Linked DNA regions of Arabidopsis thaliana. The protein of the gene in region 2 interacts with the protein of the main gene of each other region in a pairwise test. Each region holds a gene or a part of one and is shown on either strand. Other genes may lie near its edges. The genes, in order: AT3G19120 and MYB41.

The links.
Region 1: the proteins of MYB41 (region 2) and AT3G19120 interact in a two-hybrid assay, tested with the Arabidopsis thaliana proteins (one large-scale study listed by BioGRID).

Annotation. Positions count from the first base shown.
Region 1 is NC_003074.8:6,607,660-6,615,098, forward strand, and holds AT3G19120 (PIF / Ping-Pong family of plant transposase), read right to left. Parts: upstream 3,480-7,439; 5' UTR 3,360-3,479; coding exon 2,019-3,359; 3' UTR 1,691-2,018; downstream 1-1,690. Other genes in the region: AT3G19100 (Protein kinase superfamily protein), read left to right, coding at 1-246, 354-466, 574-681, 761-823, 918-1,085, 1,178-1,321; RBP47B (RNA-binding protein 47B), read right to left, coding at 3,739-3,855, 4,192-4,285, 4,399-4,529, 4,613-4,695, 4,872-5,355, 5,766-6,164; DNF (RING/U-box superfamily protein), read right to left, coding at 7,251-7,439.
Region 2 is NC_003075.7:13,965,598-13,973,036, forward strand, and holds MYB41 (myb domain protein 41), read right to left. Parts: upstream 3,929-7,439; 5' UTR 3,788-3,928; coding exon 3,655-3,787; intron 3,547-3,654; coding exon 3,417-3,546; exon of another isoform or gene 3,166-3,416; coding exon of another isoform or gene 3,155-3,165; coding exon 2,569-3,154; 3' UTR 2,432-2,568; downstream 1-2,431. Other genes in the region: AT4G28100 (uncharacterized protein), read right to left, coding at 1-23, 507-1,100; DGK6 (diacylglycerol kinase 6), read left to right, coding at 5,955-6,182, 6,471-6,587, 6,673-6,801, 6,887-6,972, 7,072-7,180, 7,261-7,309.

The DNA.
Region 1 (7,439 bases), on a different chromosome or scaffold from region 2:
TTCTACACAGATCTTATACCACAGAAGCGGATGTATGGAGCATAGGAGTCATAGCATACATTCTCCTATGTGGAAGCCGTCCTTTTTGGGCAAGAACTGAATCAGGAATTTTCAGAGCAGTTCTAAAAGCTGATCCCAGTTTTGATGAACCTCCTTGGCCTTCGTTATCCTTTGAGGCAAAAGATTTTGTTAAGAGATTATTGTACAAGGACCCTCGGAAAAGAATGACTGCATCTCAAGCTTTGAGTCAGTAATCTCTAAAATATCCACATCTTTCTATATTTATCTTCTGTTTCTAGCTTTTCATGAATCACCAGTTGAAGTTACTCCACGTTTTTTTCCGGTTTTTACAGTGCATCCTTGGATCGCGGGTTATAAGAAAATAGATATCCCATTTGATATTCTGATCTTCAAGCAGATCAAAGCATACTTGAGATCTTCGTCTTTGCGCAAAGCTGCTTTGATGGTACATTTTGCTTCTAACCTTTTTTACTGTTTCCAAACAACATTTAAGGATGTGTTTGATATTTATTACCTTTGTATCTAGTTTGCTAACTCTTTTATTCTCTCCAGGCTCTGTCCAAGACATTAACTACCGATGAACTTCTTTATCTGAAAGCGCAGTTTGCACACTTAGCACCCAACAAAAATGGCCTCATCACTTTAGATAGCATCAGACTGGTATGTGCCTTCTCTTCCTCTCTGTCTCTCTCTGGTAGAAAGCAAACAGCTCAAAGCTAGATTTATTTCTGTTGGACAGGCACTTGCGACAAATGCAACAGAAGCAATGAAGGAATCACGGATCCCGGACTTTCTTGCATTGGTATTGTCTCCTTTCTGTTCTTGTCCTTTTGCTTAATCTGTTTAAGATACAATCCAAGGTTGGTTAACGAAAGTTTGGTGTTGGGAAATGACAGTTAAATGGACTTCAATACAAAGGGATGGATTTTGAAGAGTTTTGTGCAGCTTCCATTAGCGTTCATCAGCATGAGTCTCTTGATTGTTGGGAGCAGAGCATTCGTCATGCTTATGAGCTATTTGAAATGAATGGAAACCGAGTTATCGTCATCGAAGAACTCGCTTCTGTAAGTTTATAAGAAATTCGACACTTGCTTCTGTCATGCTTAACAATTTATTCAGCTAATTCCTAAACGAAGGGAACATAAATGTTTTGTAGGAACTTGGTGTTGGATCATCCATCCCGGTTCATACCATTCTAAATGACTGGATAAGACATACTGACGGGAAGCTGAGTTTCTTGGGTTTTGTCAAACTGCTGCACGGTGTCTCGACTCGACAATCTTTAGCGAAAACGCGATGAGGAAAGTGACTCGGTGTTATAACGGATTCGAAAGAGGAAGAACATACAACTGCAAGAAGCAAATGGGTGGATTGGGGTTGGGAATTGGAATTTTTTTCAGGACCCATTCCTATGTTTATAGTGTTAGAAAAAGAATGCTAAGTTCCGACAAAGAAAGAGAGTATCCAGAAAAATCCGACAGGCCTGGAGAGTTGTATAATAAGATGATAATCCACAGTCGTGTTCTTCCAAATCATGGAAGACAGATATTAAGAACATCCCTTTCTCTTTTCATTTGGCTGTCTCCATTTTTTCCAGGAAAAAGATTCAGATTCCATTCACAATGTGCCACAAAGCAAATCATAAAAACCCATTCCTAAGTCACAAAACTTACAGTAACAGAGAGCTATTAATATTTCAAATTCGGAAAAACTTGCTTCTCAAGATTCCATAATCCATATCAATAGAAGTCATACATTTCATTCTCAAAAGGTGTTACAGAACAAACCATAAACCCATTCCTAAGTTACAAAACTGACAGTTGGGATGGCTAGGCAACAAAGTCAGCTTTTTAACATTTCTGAATCCTCAAACTTTCTTCTCAAGAGGATTGAATCTACAATGCTATCTAAAGTTCTAAACACTTGAAAGCATCTGCTTCTTACATGATAACAAAGATAGAAAGCTCCATTTTTTGACCAAGATCTGTTCATGTCTTTTACCTCGAGGAGAGTCTCTGGTGTAAATCTTCTGCCAATGCTTGCCTCAAACTCTCCCCGTAATAGTAAAACTGCCTCTCACTCTCCAAAACTCTTGCAGGCGTTCCAGCTTCATCTGGATCCTTCCAAATCTCCGGTTCAGGTTCTCTAGCAATCTGACAAAGATTATGCAACACACAACAAGCCACAATAGTCTGAGGAGCATGGTTCACACCAACATTCAAACTCTGAAGAATCTTCCATCTAGCCTTGAGCAATCCAATAGCTTCCACCACCACTGACCTTCCTTTCATCAACATTCCATCGAATAGATTCTCCGGTGGCGTACCAGAGCCATTTGGTGAAAATGGAGTCATCAGGAATGAGAGAAGAGGATAACACCAATCTCCAACAATGTATGGTCTCACATGGTGACCTCTAATATTGATAACTTTCTCCCAAACAATGTCTCCTGAAGTAAGCCTCTTATATAGAAGACTATCTCTGAAATGAGAAGAGTCGTCTTCTCCACCTGGAGCTTTCACACAAACGTCCCAAAAGATCTTCTTGTGATCAGCAACAACCTGAAGCAAAACGGCGTCGTATCCGTACTTGCAACCGTAAATGTTTCTAGGGTTTAGTTTCGTGCGGCGTCTGAGCTTCACCGGAGTACTATCAATGGCGCCGCAAATGTTGGGGAGAGAGGTGAGTTCTTCGAATCCCTGAGTCGTTTCGATCAATCTCCGTTTTCCGACGGGGATTTTGATGAATTCTGGATATAGCTTGGTGGCTAAGAGACGTGTGACCATGTTTGTGATCTTGGAGATGAGGTATGGATCTAGTGAGTAGCGAGAAGCTAGGGTTTTAGCTGAGCAGCCATGAGCGAGACGAGAGAGGACCATAGCGACGGCGTAATCGGCGGGGAGAGAGAGATTTGAAGCGGTGATGAATGGTTTGAGCTTGTCGACGACGGTGATGAAGACTGGGTAGGAAAGACCGTACAATGAGCGCCAACGAGCGTCGCGGAGAGGCGCATCGAGTGACCAGATGTGGTCTGTGGTTAGGGCACGGAAGGCAGCGACGGAGTAATCGCCGTCGGCAAGAGGCGGAGGAGGGGAAGGGGAAGGTGATTCTGAGGAAGATGAGGATTCGGTTGAAGATCTGTTGACGGCGAGGAAGGAGAGGAGAGATGCGAGAGTGAAGAAGAGTAAAGGCGCGGCGGAGGAAGTGGAGAGGAGGGAGGAAGGTGTGGTTGAAGACTGTGAAGATGTGGATGCGGAAGAGAAGAGAGTGCTTGTAGGATCTAATGAGTTTTGGAGATGGAGAAGATGTGAGAGCATCGCCATGAAAGCTTCTTCCATCTTCACTCTCCGATTTTTTTCTCTCCGGAGAGGTTGAGAGTAGAAGAAAAACTGAAGAAGTGAGAGAGAAAGGGCTAATAGCTAAAAATTTAAAATTAATGTGAGTTAATAAATATAATTTTAAAGTTTTGGGGTTGTTTGTTTAATTTCAGAAAGTTTTGGGCTTATAAGCAATTCGTAGAAGGTAAGCGGAATTTTGATCCAACAAGTTGCAACCATTTATATTAGTCTGAGACAAACCAGTAACCAAAATTTTTGAATCTCCTCCAAACAACAAGTCTATCAAAATCAAATCCATCTAACAAAATTCTTCTTTCGACTACAGGTTTTAGCTTTGATATGTGAAACCATGATGAAGATGATCACTTGATGAGTCTCTTCAATTCTCCCCATGATAGTTGTTGGAGTCGTGGTGGTTAGCATATCCTCCTCCATTGTTGTAACCATGTCCTCGTGAGTATCCTCCATTCCACTGCTGCCCTGAGTCTCCTCTCCACTGCCACAAGTTGAACACATTATGAGAACTAAAAAGAAATCTATTGCCAGCAGAACCAATTTGGTTAAGTCCTAGACCAAAACATGTCGACATAAGACCATGTTCAGGGTTGGTGACACAAGTTGGACATGGAGACATGTATTAGATATTCTCCCACTTGCATAAGTCAAAATAGAAAACGAAGGGAAGGTGCTAGATTCCACCAGCTATTATTGTCAACCACTGACTTTACTTTTAATAACAAAACAAACAACTATTCACAAAGTTTGACCCTAGCAAAATACTCAATTTACTCTTCTACTGATAGAATGCATCAACTCCAAAGTGAAATTTTACCTGCTTGTTTGGGCTTCGTCCCCAGGAGAGTCTGACAGTGTTCTTGCCGATGACTGTCCCGTTCAAACTCTCGATAGCATCTTCAGCACTCTTCCTGTCAAAACCAAAGGCAAGTCGCTTTGAATTACTCGCTATGAGATAAGCACCTACAGGTTGCTCAATCATATGATTGCCAAGCCAACACTACTAACTAGATGAAGACAGCACCTGTCAGCAAATTGGACAAATCCACATCCTTTCCCTACTGGGATCTTCACTGAAACAACCTCTCCAAACTGGGAAAAAGGTTGTCTGAGGTCTTCATCAATAACATCAGGGTCAATGCCGCCAACAAATATCTGCAGTAGAATAACCTAAGATGAGCAGCAAGAACATATAGAGCTTGAATGATGCTGACATATAACTAAATATGACAACTCACTGTTGCGTTAGTTGATTCGCCATCAGACTGCGAGCCATAACCCATGGAACCATTTGATCCATGTCCACCAGCCAGAATCACAGCTATTCCAATGAAAACATAAAATCTTTATAGTTCAAAAACTTTGTTGAATGCAACAAGTTGTTAGCTCTAGAGTCCTATGGATTAAAACTGGCTCACCTCTCGCTTAAAACTAGTACACTTAAATAGAAAGAATCAGAGGGTAAAACTAGTTGCAGAGAGAAGTATGAAAAGAAACCTTGTGAAGAATGTTGTTGCTGATTAGCAATCGCTCTTTTGGGAGTTGCAATACCTACACGCATTTGCCTGTTCGAACAGTAAGCTCCATTCATTTCTGTCAAAGCCCTTGACCTCTCATTTTCATCACCGAACCTCACAAAACCATAACCTTTGGACCGGCCGGTGTTGGAATCAATCACAACTTTGGCGCTTTTGACAGAAGGATATCTATCAGAAAAGGTCTCATGCAATAAAACGTCAGTGACATCTGGAGACAAGTCTCCCACAAAAACAGATAGGTCTGGACCATTTTCCACTGCTCTTTTTTCACCAGTACTAAAAGATGCCCAGTTTATACGGAAGGGTTGGTCCGAGTTTGGCATCACTGAACCACTATAGTTCTGAAGAACTTCTTCAGCTGCAGCACGTGAAAGAAACTCAACAAACCCATACCCTTCTGATTGAGAAGTGAGCTTGTTACGTATAACTTTCACAGAAGAAACCTGCTCATCACAAAAAAAAACAAGAAACTTCAGAGAAAGAACAAAACAGAACACATGTATAACTGGATATAAGTTTATTCATGAAAAGTGAAAATCTTATGCAATCATTCTCTTTCATACCAGAAAAGTTTTAACTAAACGTGGCAAGGTACAAGAGTACTTTTTGCCTAACGAAATATGAACTTGTCCTGTCCTTTTCAGGTCAAAGTTGTTCTCCATTACCCTATTTGTTTCTATATCCATTGGATCTAATCTAATCCAACTAACTAGTTTTTTAAAATAGCTACTTGGTTTAACAATGAATCAAAACACAAGAACATGTCAATGATTTGCAAAAAGGATGAATTTTTAACCATATTTACAAGTAACAATCTAAATCCAAAACAGAGTACCAATGAACAAGATAATACCTCGCCGGTGTGAGAAAAGCAAGAATGGAGATAAGTCTCATCCATCCAATGAAGAAGATCACCAACCCAAAGAGTCTTGACATCATCTCCAGATCCACGGTCAATAGCCTTGTGTTGCTGGTGCTGGTGCTGTTGATAAGACCCGTATTGGTGAAGCTGAGGATGATGCTGCTGATAAGGACCTTGATTATACGGAACATATTGATGAGGATACATCAGCATCTGTTGCTGCTGCATCATCATCATCGCCGCCGCTGGTGGATATTGCATGGCAGCCATCCACTGTTGCTGTTGCTGTTGCTGCTGCTGCCACTGCTGAGGTGGAGGAGGGGTTTGTTGATTCGGCGGTGTGGCTCCGGAAGTTGCCAACGTCGAATCTGAGCCGTTGGTTGTCTGCATCTTGATCCGATCTGATCTCCGGAAAGGGAAAACAGAGTCTCCGAGTTGTTTTAGATTCAAGAGTTTCGAGATTCTTCTTCTCTATGAATATATTTCGTTCCAACAAGTGTGCGTAAAGAAAGTGAGAGCTCGTTGAGCTCTGGTAATGGCGGAGAGAGAGATAGAGGTAGAGAGAGATTTGGTCTTAAAAGGAGGCGGAGAGAGAGAGAGAGAAGTGAGTTAATGGGTTTAAGGCTGAAACAATGGGTCTTGGGGAAGTGGCCGAAACGTGGGGCCCATTTACGTGCTTAAGCCGTGTTGTTTTTTGAGATCGACGGCTCTGATTCCACCGCATTTAGCCACTTACATTTAATTATTTCACCTTCTAGGGTTTTTAAAATATAACTGACTTTTTAATCATTGGGTAAAAACAAAAACATATTTACGTGATAATATGATTAACCGTTTTGTACTGTCATGAAAGAGTCAGCTGTTCTACAGTAAACTCTAGGCCTATGCAAATTAACCGAGCCGTTTTACTGTTCTACAGTAAATTTTAAAAGTATGTAAATTAACCGAATCGGATGTATCGAACCGGAACTAAAGTAAAAAAAAAAAAAAATTACATTAAACCAAAGATTCGAAAAAAAACAGAATAGATATTTTAGAATCGGTACCAAACCGATATAAAATACAATTATATATCCAAAACAAAAGTTATTTATAAACTAAATAATAAAAATATTTGAGAATATATAAAATCATAAAAATATTCAAAAATAAAAGAAAAATATCCATAAAATAATTGAAATATCTAAAGTAAAATATTTGAATGGATACTAAATGATAAAACTTAAAGAACTGAACCAAAACCAAACCAAAATTTTAAATTAGTTGAATGAATACTAAATTATATAACCGAAACGAATGGAACCGATAGTCGTTTGGATAACCGAACGTCAGGACTAGTGAATCCAAAAAAAAAAAAGAATTAGATATGGGCCTTATACTCAACACCTGTTTAAAACAGAGGTTTTGAAAAAACCATATTTTTATATCTCGTTCCACTGCATCTCTATGCAACCATCCTCAAATCTTCTTGTATGCCTAACCGGAATTAGGGTTTGGACTAAGAGAAAGTTCGTGATTTTGGATTTCTTCAACGTTCTTTCTGCAGTTAGGGCAAGTATAGTCTGAATGAAGCCATGTGTCAGTAAAATCAAAGTGAAAGCAATGATTACAACTAGGTAAAACCCTGGCTTTGTCTTCGTCGATGAACTTTGATAGACAAACGAC
Region 2 (7,439 bases):
TTGTTTCCTCCTCTTACCTTTAGCTGTAAATCCACCCATCAAAATTTGAAACAAAAAACAAGATTCATTAATATAATGGAAAACAAAAAGATTGCGTGTGAAAGTGAAGGGTTTCAGAGTGTTGCAGTGCTTTGGGTCTATACGAAAAAAGAAAGTTTCTGAAAAAGCACATCTCCAATTGTTTGCAACCTAAAAGGATAGCCAAAGAAAAACCAACAATGTGCTTGTGTGTGTCTCTTTCAACATAAACCCTAAAATTAACAGTAAAATTTGTTATTGTGAGTTTGGTGAACATGTTACTCATGGATAGAGAGTGACAGCTACTTGAACATTCTGAAGAAGACTTCACGCAAATGAAATCAAAACATTTATTATGCTTTTAAGGATAAGAAAAAAATTTCATTAAATGCTCTGTGAATCCTTAGTGTAGGGACTAGGGACATAAAGAATGAAAATTTAATGTGACGGAATGCGAAAAATTTGAACTTAAGTTATAAAAATTGAACCTTTTGAAGAGCACCGAGGCATCTGGTACAACCGGAGTAAGAAGAGTTCCGGCATTCTTTTTCAAGATTCTTCACGGCGGCGGTCGGAGTTGCGTTTTTGAAGCCGGAGGAGACATTGAAAGCGGCGGGACAAGAGAGTGAGCTAATCTGGTGGAGACGAATACCACAGAAGCACAAGATTGCGTCACAGCTAGAATTAGGCTGAGGGATCTTGATTTGTTTAGTCAAAAGCGCACTTTGCAATGTGTTGACGCACTTCTGAGAGTCGTCAGGCTTCATGGGTTCGTCGGGATCAGAAGATTCCGGCGTTGGAGCAGGAGCTGGTAACTGGAGAGCAGAGCGAGCGTGAGCTGCGAAGAGCCAAGCGGCTAAAACAGGGCAACATCGACTCCGGTCAAGGTTTCTTCCGCAAGCTTCGTTGACGCCACCGAATAGCTCGTTGGAGAGGTCAAGTCGGCAGCTTTGAGCTTGGGTTTCGACGGGGAAGGCTGGTACGGTGTTGGGTTGGACCGGTTCGACGAGTAGGTTGCTCAAGACGGTGGAGAAGAGGAGAGAACAGAGGAGGAGGATGAGTAGAGTGAGACTTTTCTTCATTCTAAATGGCTAAAGAGAGAGGGAGAGAAATGGATTTAGATATTGAAACGTTTTCTCAAATCTGAGTCTTTTAAGATTCTGAGATTCACGAAGAAAAGCAGCCTTCCATTATTCACTATCTTCTCTCTCTTTTGTTCTGTCCAAAGGACTATTGTGAAGAGAGAGAGAAGAGAGATGTGAGGGAAGAAAAACAAGAGATTCCTGACTTTTGGCAGTTTCTGGTTTGTTTTAGAGTCTATAATCCCTTTGTAAACTGTGTTTAGCTCCGGAAATTATAGGCCTTGTCTTTTTGTTTTGTACTACTAGTTCTAGTAGTAACTAAGAATTCTTAACTACATGTCTACATTAGTAACTAAGCATAATGTATAGTTCATATTTATCCATGTACATTTGTAATGTATTTACATGTTCATGTATATAACATGGTGGCTTTTAATTTCGCAAAACGCTAGCAAAAATATGTGAAAGAGAAAAATTTAAAGATAGGAGTTAGAGAAAATAAAAAAAAGATATGAATGGTGGAGAAACATAACGAGCCCTTAACGAGGTGGGATGAGATGCGAATGGAGCATAGTCACAGGAAGAAAAGGATCGATATCTAAAGGACAAAACACAAAAACTCTCTACAATCATATATTAAATCATTGATACGCTTTATGAGCATTGACAAATCCAAAAATAAAAAGAAATAAACCTCTTATTTCAAACGGGTATATGAATATGAGCCGGAGGCCAGCCTAGGGAAACGGTCCGTCAGGGAAAAAGGTGAAAACTCCAAAAGGCGAGAAAAAAGGAGTCGTCCCCACTTTCACTAATGCATTTCCTAATCTTCCTCTTTAAGTTCCAAATTCCACCAATTAAAGCATTTTCACACGTTCTTTGTGTTGCTTACTTACCTGCCCATACCAATTAGTCAAAATGCCTTCATCCCTCAAATTCAAATTATCTATATAAGACTTAGATTTAACTGTTCCACACTTATCTCTTGCTTGGAATTGAAAAGTGAAAATATCATTTTATATAGACCAAGTTTAACTAACTCATATTATCGATTTGGTTTTTAGAAAATAGTTCTACAAGCTTCCGGAATATAGGCCTTAAATTGGCCAAATTAACGGCTTTAAAATGAACTTGAATTGGGCCTTGAATTGGGCCTAAATGATAGAACTCGCATAAACTGATTAACTTGATTGACGATGATTCGAACAAAGCAATATGAATATGTGATGTGTTTGACGCTAATAATTCTATGTTTGCTTCCGTCAACTGTGTATATGGACTAATGGAGCAGAATTTAGATATCTCGCCTAAGCAGATAATACATAAACATTCATGAAAATTTTATAGACTAATAACTTAATATCTTTTGAGAGAATAAAAACAAGAAATTTATACATCAAACAAAAGAAAGAATGCAACAAAGAATCATATGTGTGAAAGCAAGACATGTGTATGCAAATGTTGAAAATTAAAACATAAAGTCATCTAAGATGAAATCTTCCGGAATTCCAAAGTCGAAGAAAGTGCTGGAGTTGGTTTCTGCTTCAATGCTATTTTGTCGTGGAGAAGACATTGGCGTTGACATGAGCGAGTCTAAGTCAAAACTCTCTGACAAAGGTGGTAATACATCTGCAAGACCAACGTCGTCGAGTCTTGCGTTCATAGGCTCCAATGATGAAGTTTCATAGTTTGTTGGGACTGTACTAGTCTCAGCTTGTGGTTGAGACGATTCTGATGATGTATTTGGAGTTTGAAGATTTTGGTCGAGGTTCGATGGGTAAACTGGATTAGGGTTTTGAAGTGGCAGTAGTAGAGAGGCCAACCTCAATACATCAGGATTAAGAAGAGAAGACGCATGTGTTGCAACTGCTGAAAAGTTTGGCTGGTTGAAAAGTGCACTCAAAAGTGAGGACAAATCAAGAAGATCAAGGCGTGGAGAATGAGTAACAGGGTCGATACCACTCCTTACAAGTCTCTTGCGGATGTGAGTGTTCCAATGGTTTTTTATTTCGTTATCGGTCCTCCCTGGTAGACGAGCGGCTATTGCTGACCACCTAATATTCATCAATTCAATATTAGTGACATTAATCTATGATCAATACAAAACTCCTTTATTATTATTCTAATATAGGTCAATACGTACTAGTAAAGTACTAATAATAGTTTATTGGAGTTGATGGCCTACATTTGACATGTACCCCCGCATGCAAACGTACACTCTCCCTTTTTGAGTTTTACATTAATTAACATACAAAAGCATGTAGCTGATGAATATGAATTTCAGACAAAAATTATGGTGTGAATGATCAGGCTTACTTGTTTCCCATAACACTGTGTAGCTGAATGATAGTTTCTTCTTCCTCGAACGAGAATCTTCCTCTCTTGATGTCCGGTCTTAGATAATTGGTCCATCGAAGACGGCAGCTTTTTCCACATCTATGGAGTCCTTTAATTTGTACAATACGACTTATAAGTGTGTGACTCAATAAATAGAGAACATATATATTAATCTATGAGAACAAAATATAAGGAACGGTGTGTAGTTTATACGTACCAGCATTTTTGGGGAGCGTACGCCAATTGCCAGGACCATGAAATCGAATATAATCGATGAGTTTCTGATCCTCCTCAGCAGTCCATGGTCCCTTCTTCACTCCATTTTTATCACAACAAGGTGATCTTCCCATCTTTGTTTTGTTTCGCACAACTTTAAATTTCGATAATGATTTGGTTCTGTTATTTAGATAGAAAAAATCGAAGAGCCAAGTGGAGTTTCTTAATTTTCAAAAAGAGGAGTTGGATTTTAGAAATGTCAATGTGTGGATGTACTCATACCTTCTCCGTTCATTTGTTTATATAGGGATGTGAATTATGCGAAGAACTTTATCAATGTAGAAGAGAGCCAAGGTCAATTCCACTTGGCATGTACCTAATATGCCACGTCCTTTGAAATATACAAAAGGTTATAAACCTTGCTTAGACTACATATCGCCTAACGTTTTTTTTTTACTGTATATTCTAGAAACGATCCACGTGATAGTATGTATGGTATTTAATATAATCTATCTATCTAACTTAGATTCTGTTAGTTCAAATAATAATATCTTTATGCGTATATTTTGGAGTGATAGAATGTTCTTTTGTATGTTAATGTAGATAAAGTAATGGAACTAAGAGATTAAAATAGAAACCTTGTGGGGGTAACTTCGGCGGTGAGAGTATTTTATGTTTACCTTATGGTGGTGAGAGTCAGAGTGAAGCACATTAATAATTTTGCATGTTTTGCTTTTTGTTTGTGGGTTAAGTTGTTGACTTTGCTTAAACAAAAAAAGAGATGTTGACTTTGCATGTTAATATAGGTAAGTTGACTTTTACATAATGTTTGGTTTAAGAAAACCTGAAAAATTAAGTATGAGAATATATGTTACGTTGAATTTTGGAACATAAAGCCTAGAGTTTCAAAGGTTAAGAGAGTGAGGACGGTAAAGTAGTTGGATATTCTCATCAAAAAAACTTTCAAATAACGTGTTAATGTCATGTGCCTTGTGCTTTTAAAATTGATGATTGCAACATTTTACTTATGCAACGTTATTCCAAGTTTCAATTGCTTGTGGAAGGCTCTCTCCGAACAAGCCATCCACGTTGGCACTACTTAGACGATTTCAAAAAGCAAATTAAATAACTACAAAATTGCAAAAGAAGTGAAACTTTTTTATTTTATTTTTTATGTTTGTTAAATTGTTGGTGGAAAGCAGTGCAACAAACTTTGAATTCGATATCCCCTTTATCACAAGAACCACAGGCTTCTCCGAAGTTCACACCGAAGCTTATTGTCTACATTTTAAAATATTTTCACCTTCTTAAAATAGCAATGTGTGGATTCATGCAGAAGGTGACACATGGAAAGAGATGTGATGTGGGGTTATCCTTTCACTTCTTTTTTGCATCATTCTATCTACTCTTAGGTTTCTCTTCTGGATTGGTCATCGTCAGAGATTTACCAAAGGAAATCGGTCATCGTCAGAGATGATGTATTGATGTCAAGTCCAAAGATTGTGTCTAAGTCATGGCATTAGGAGATTCTCGAACAAGGCCTAATACTATAGCGCTTTTTACTTAATGGGCCATTAGTGGAATTAAGCTTTACACCCTTAATGGGCTTAATTGCTTGTAAAAATGAGCTCATCAGTGACGGGCTAAGTTACACTTTGTAATTGCGTTTAACCTTAATAAGTTAAATGTTATAAAATATAAAACAAATGATGACAAAAAATTAATATTTGTAGAATATCTAAATATGTATAAATTGGTATAAATATATTAAACTAAAGAAAAGTATGAAATATATGAAAGATGATATATAATACAAAGACAATGGACTCCATTTCCATATGTCAGCAGTAAATTAGATATAAATCCTTTAACAAAAAAAGTAATGAAAAAAGACTGTAATTTTTGACAAACAAAAAAAGCAGTAATTACTAATTAGATATGCATGTTAAAGATCACGTTTTCATGTGCATAAAGACCATTTAAGAGTACTAGTGTTTTTATCTATATAAAAGAAAAAGGAAAATCAACGTTGTGCCTTTAACCTTGTTCTAACTCCTAATTAGTCTTGGTATAGCAATACCATTAACAAAAGGTTATAAAATCTTCAGGATCTCCATTATTTAAATCTAATTACTTTTTCAAGACACGATAATATAGTAAACTTTATCTTTCAACCCCTTGAGAGATTTCATGGTATGATGTCTACTTCGATCGTCTTTTGCATGATTAACGATGTCGATTTTATATATTTGTTATTTGATTAATCTTAAATATGAATACTTGATGAGTGTTGATATGTGAATGGTTCAGTCAGAGACGAGTATGGAAAAATACAAGAATTTATCAGATTTCCTTAAGAAATTCTTCATACCTTCGTACGTTCTCTCGCCTGAAGACGAGCCTGAGGCGCAAATCAGTTGTACAACTGCACCTGAGAACCCAATCCTCGTATTCATCAACTCCAAAAGCGGAGGTCAACTAGGTGCAGAACTCATCCTTACCTACCGTACTCTGCTCAACGACAAGCAGGTCTATAATATATCAATTTAGGCTTTAGCCATAGACTAATGATTCATTGGTTTTTGAAATTGGCTTCTACAACAAAAAGTGATGAATTCGTTGATTCTTCTTAAATACGTAACTTGATTGATTTTATATCTGATTTTAACCTAAAAACCCTAAAAATCAAACTTGATTGAAATATGGAAACTAATTAAATTAGATAACTGTCTACATTATTTTACTGATGATCATTATCATATATTATATTTCCATGTTTTTTAATTGGTTATTAATTATAGCATATTTGGTACTCAGGTTTTTGATCTGGAGGTAGAGACCCCAGATAAAGTGCTGCAGAGAATTTATCTTAACCTAGAGAGGTTAAAAGACGATAGTTTGGCTAGCAAGATTCGGGACAAGTTGAAAATCATTGTGAGTTATCTTCATCGGTACGTAAATAGAAAAGGTGTTAATAATTTAGTCATTTGTCATTAAGCATGAGTTATGTTTAATTTAGGTTGCAGGGGGAGATGGAACAGCTGGTTGGCTCCTTGGAGTTGTTTCTGATCTTAATTTATCCAATCCACCTCCAATTGCTACGGTTCCTTTAGGTACCGGTAACAACCTTCCATTTGCATTTGGATGGGTATGTATATATACACTGATGATCACTCAAATCATATTATATCTCATAGAATATGTTTCTTCTTACTAAATCTCATCATCTTCAGGGTAAGAAAAATCCTGGAACAGATAGGTCTTCGGTGGAGTCTTTTTTGGGTAAAGTGATCAATGCAAAAGAGATGAAGATAGACAAGTATATATTCAATTACACATATATCATTCTCTTTCAATTTTCATATATTATACTTTGTTTTTGGATTGATATATGTATGCATTTTATATCTTAATCAAGTTGGAAGATACTTATGAGGATGAAGCATCCCAAGGAAGGCTCTTGTGATATTACTCTTAAGCTACCACATTCTCTTCCTCGTATTTTCCCATCAGATCAAGAAAATATGGTAAGATATTTTTCTTCTTTTGCGCATCATCTCTTTCTTTTATTCTTATATGATCAGCATTATTCTTTTCAAATTTTCAGGAAGGTTACCATACATATCGTGGGGGATTCTGGAATTACTTCAGCTTGGGTAACATTTTTTGCTCTTTACGTTCCACGTTGTGTTAGGTGTGAGATAAATGATATCTAAACATCATGTCAATGATATTTGAAACTTGGATTATAAATTAATTGTATGAATTGTCATGTTCAGTACTTCC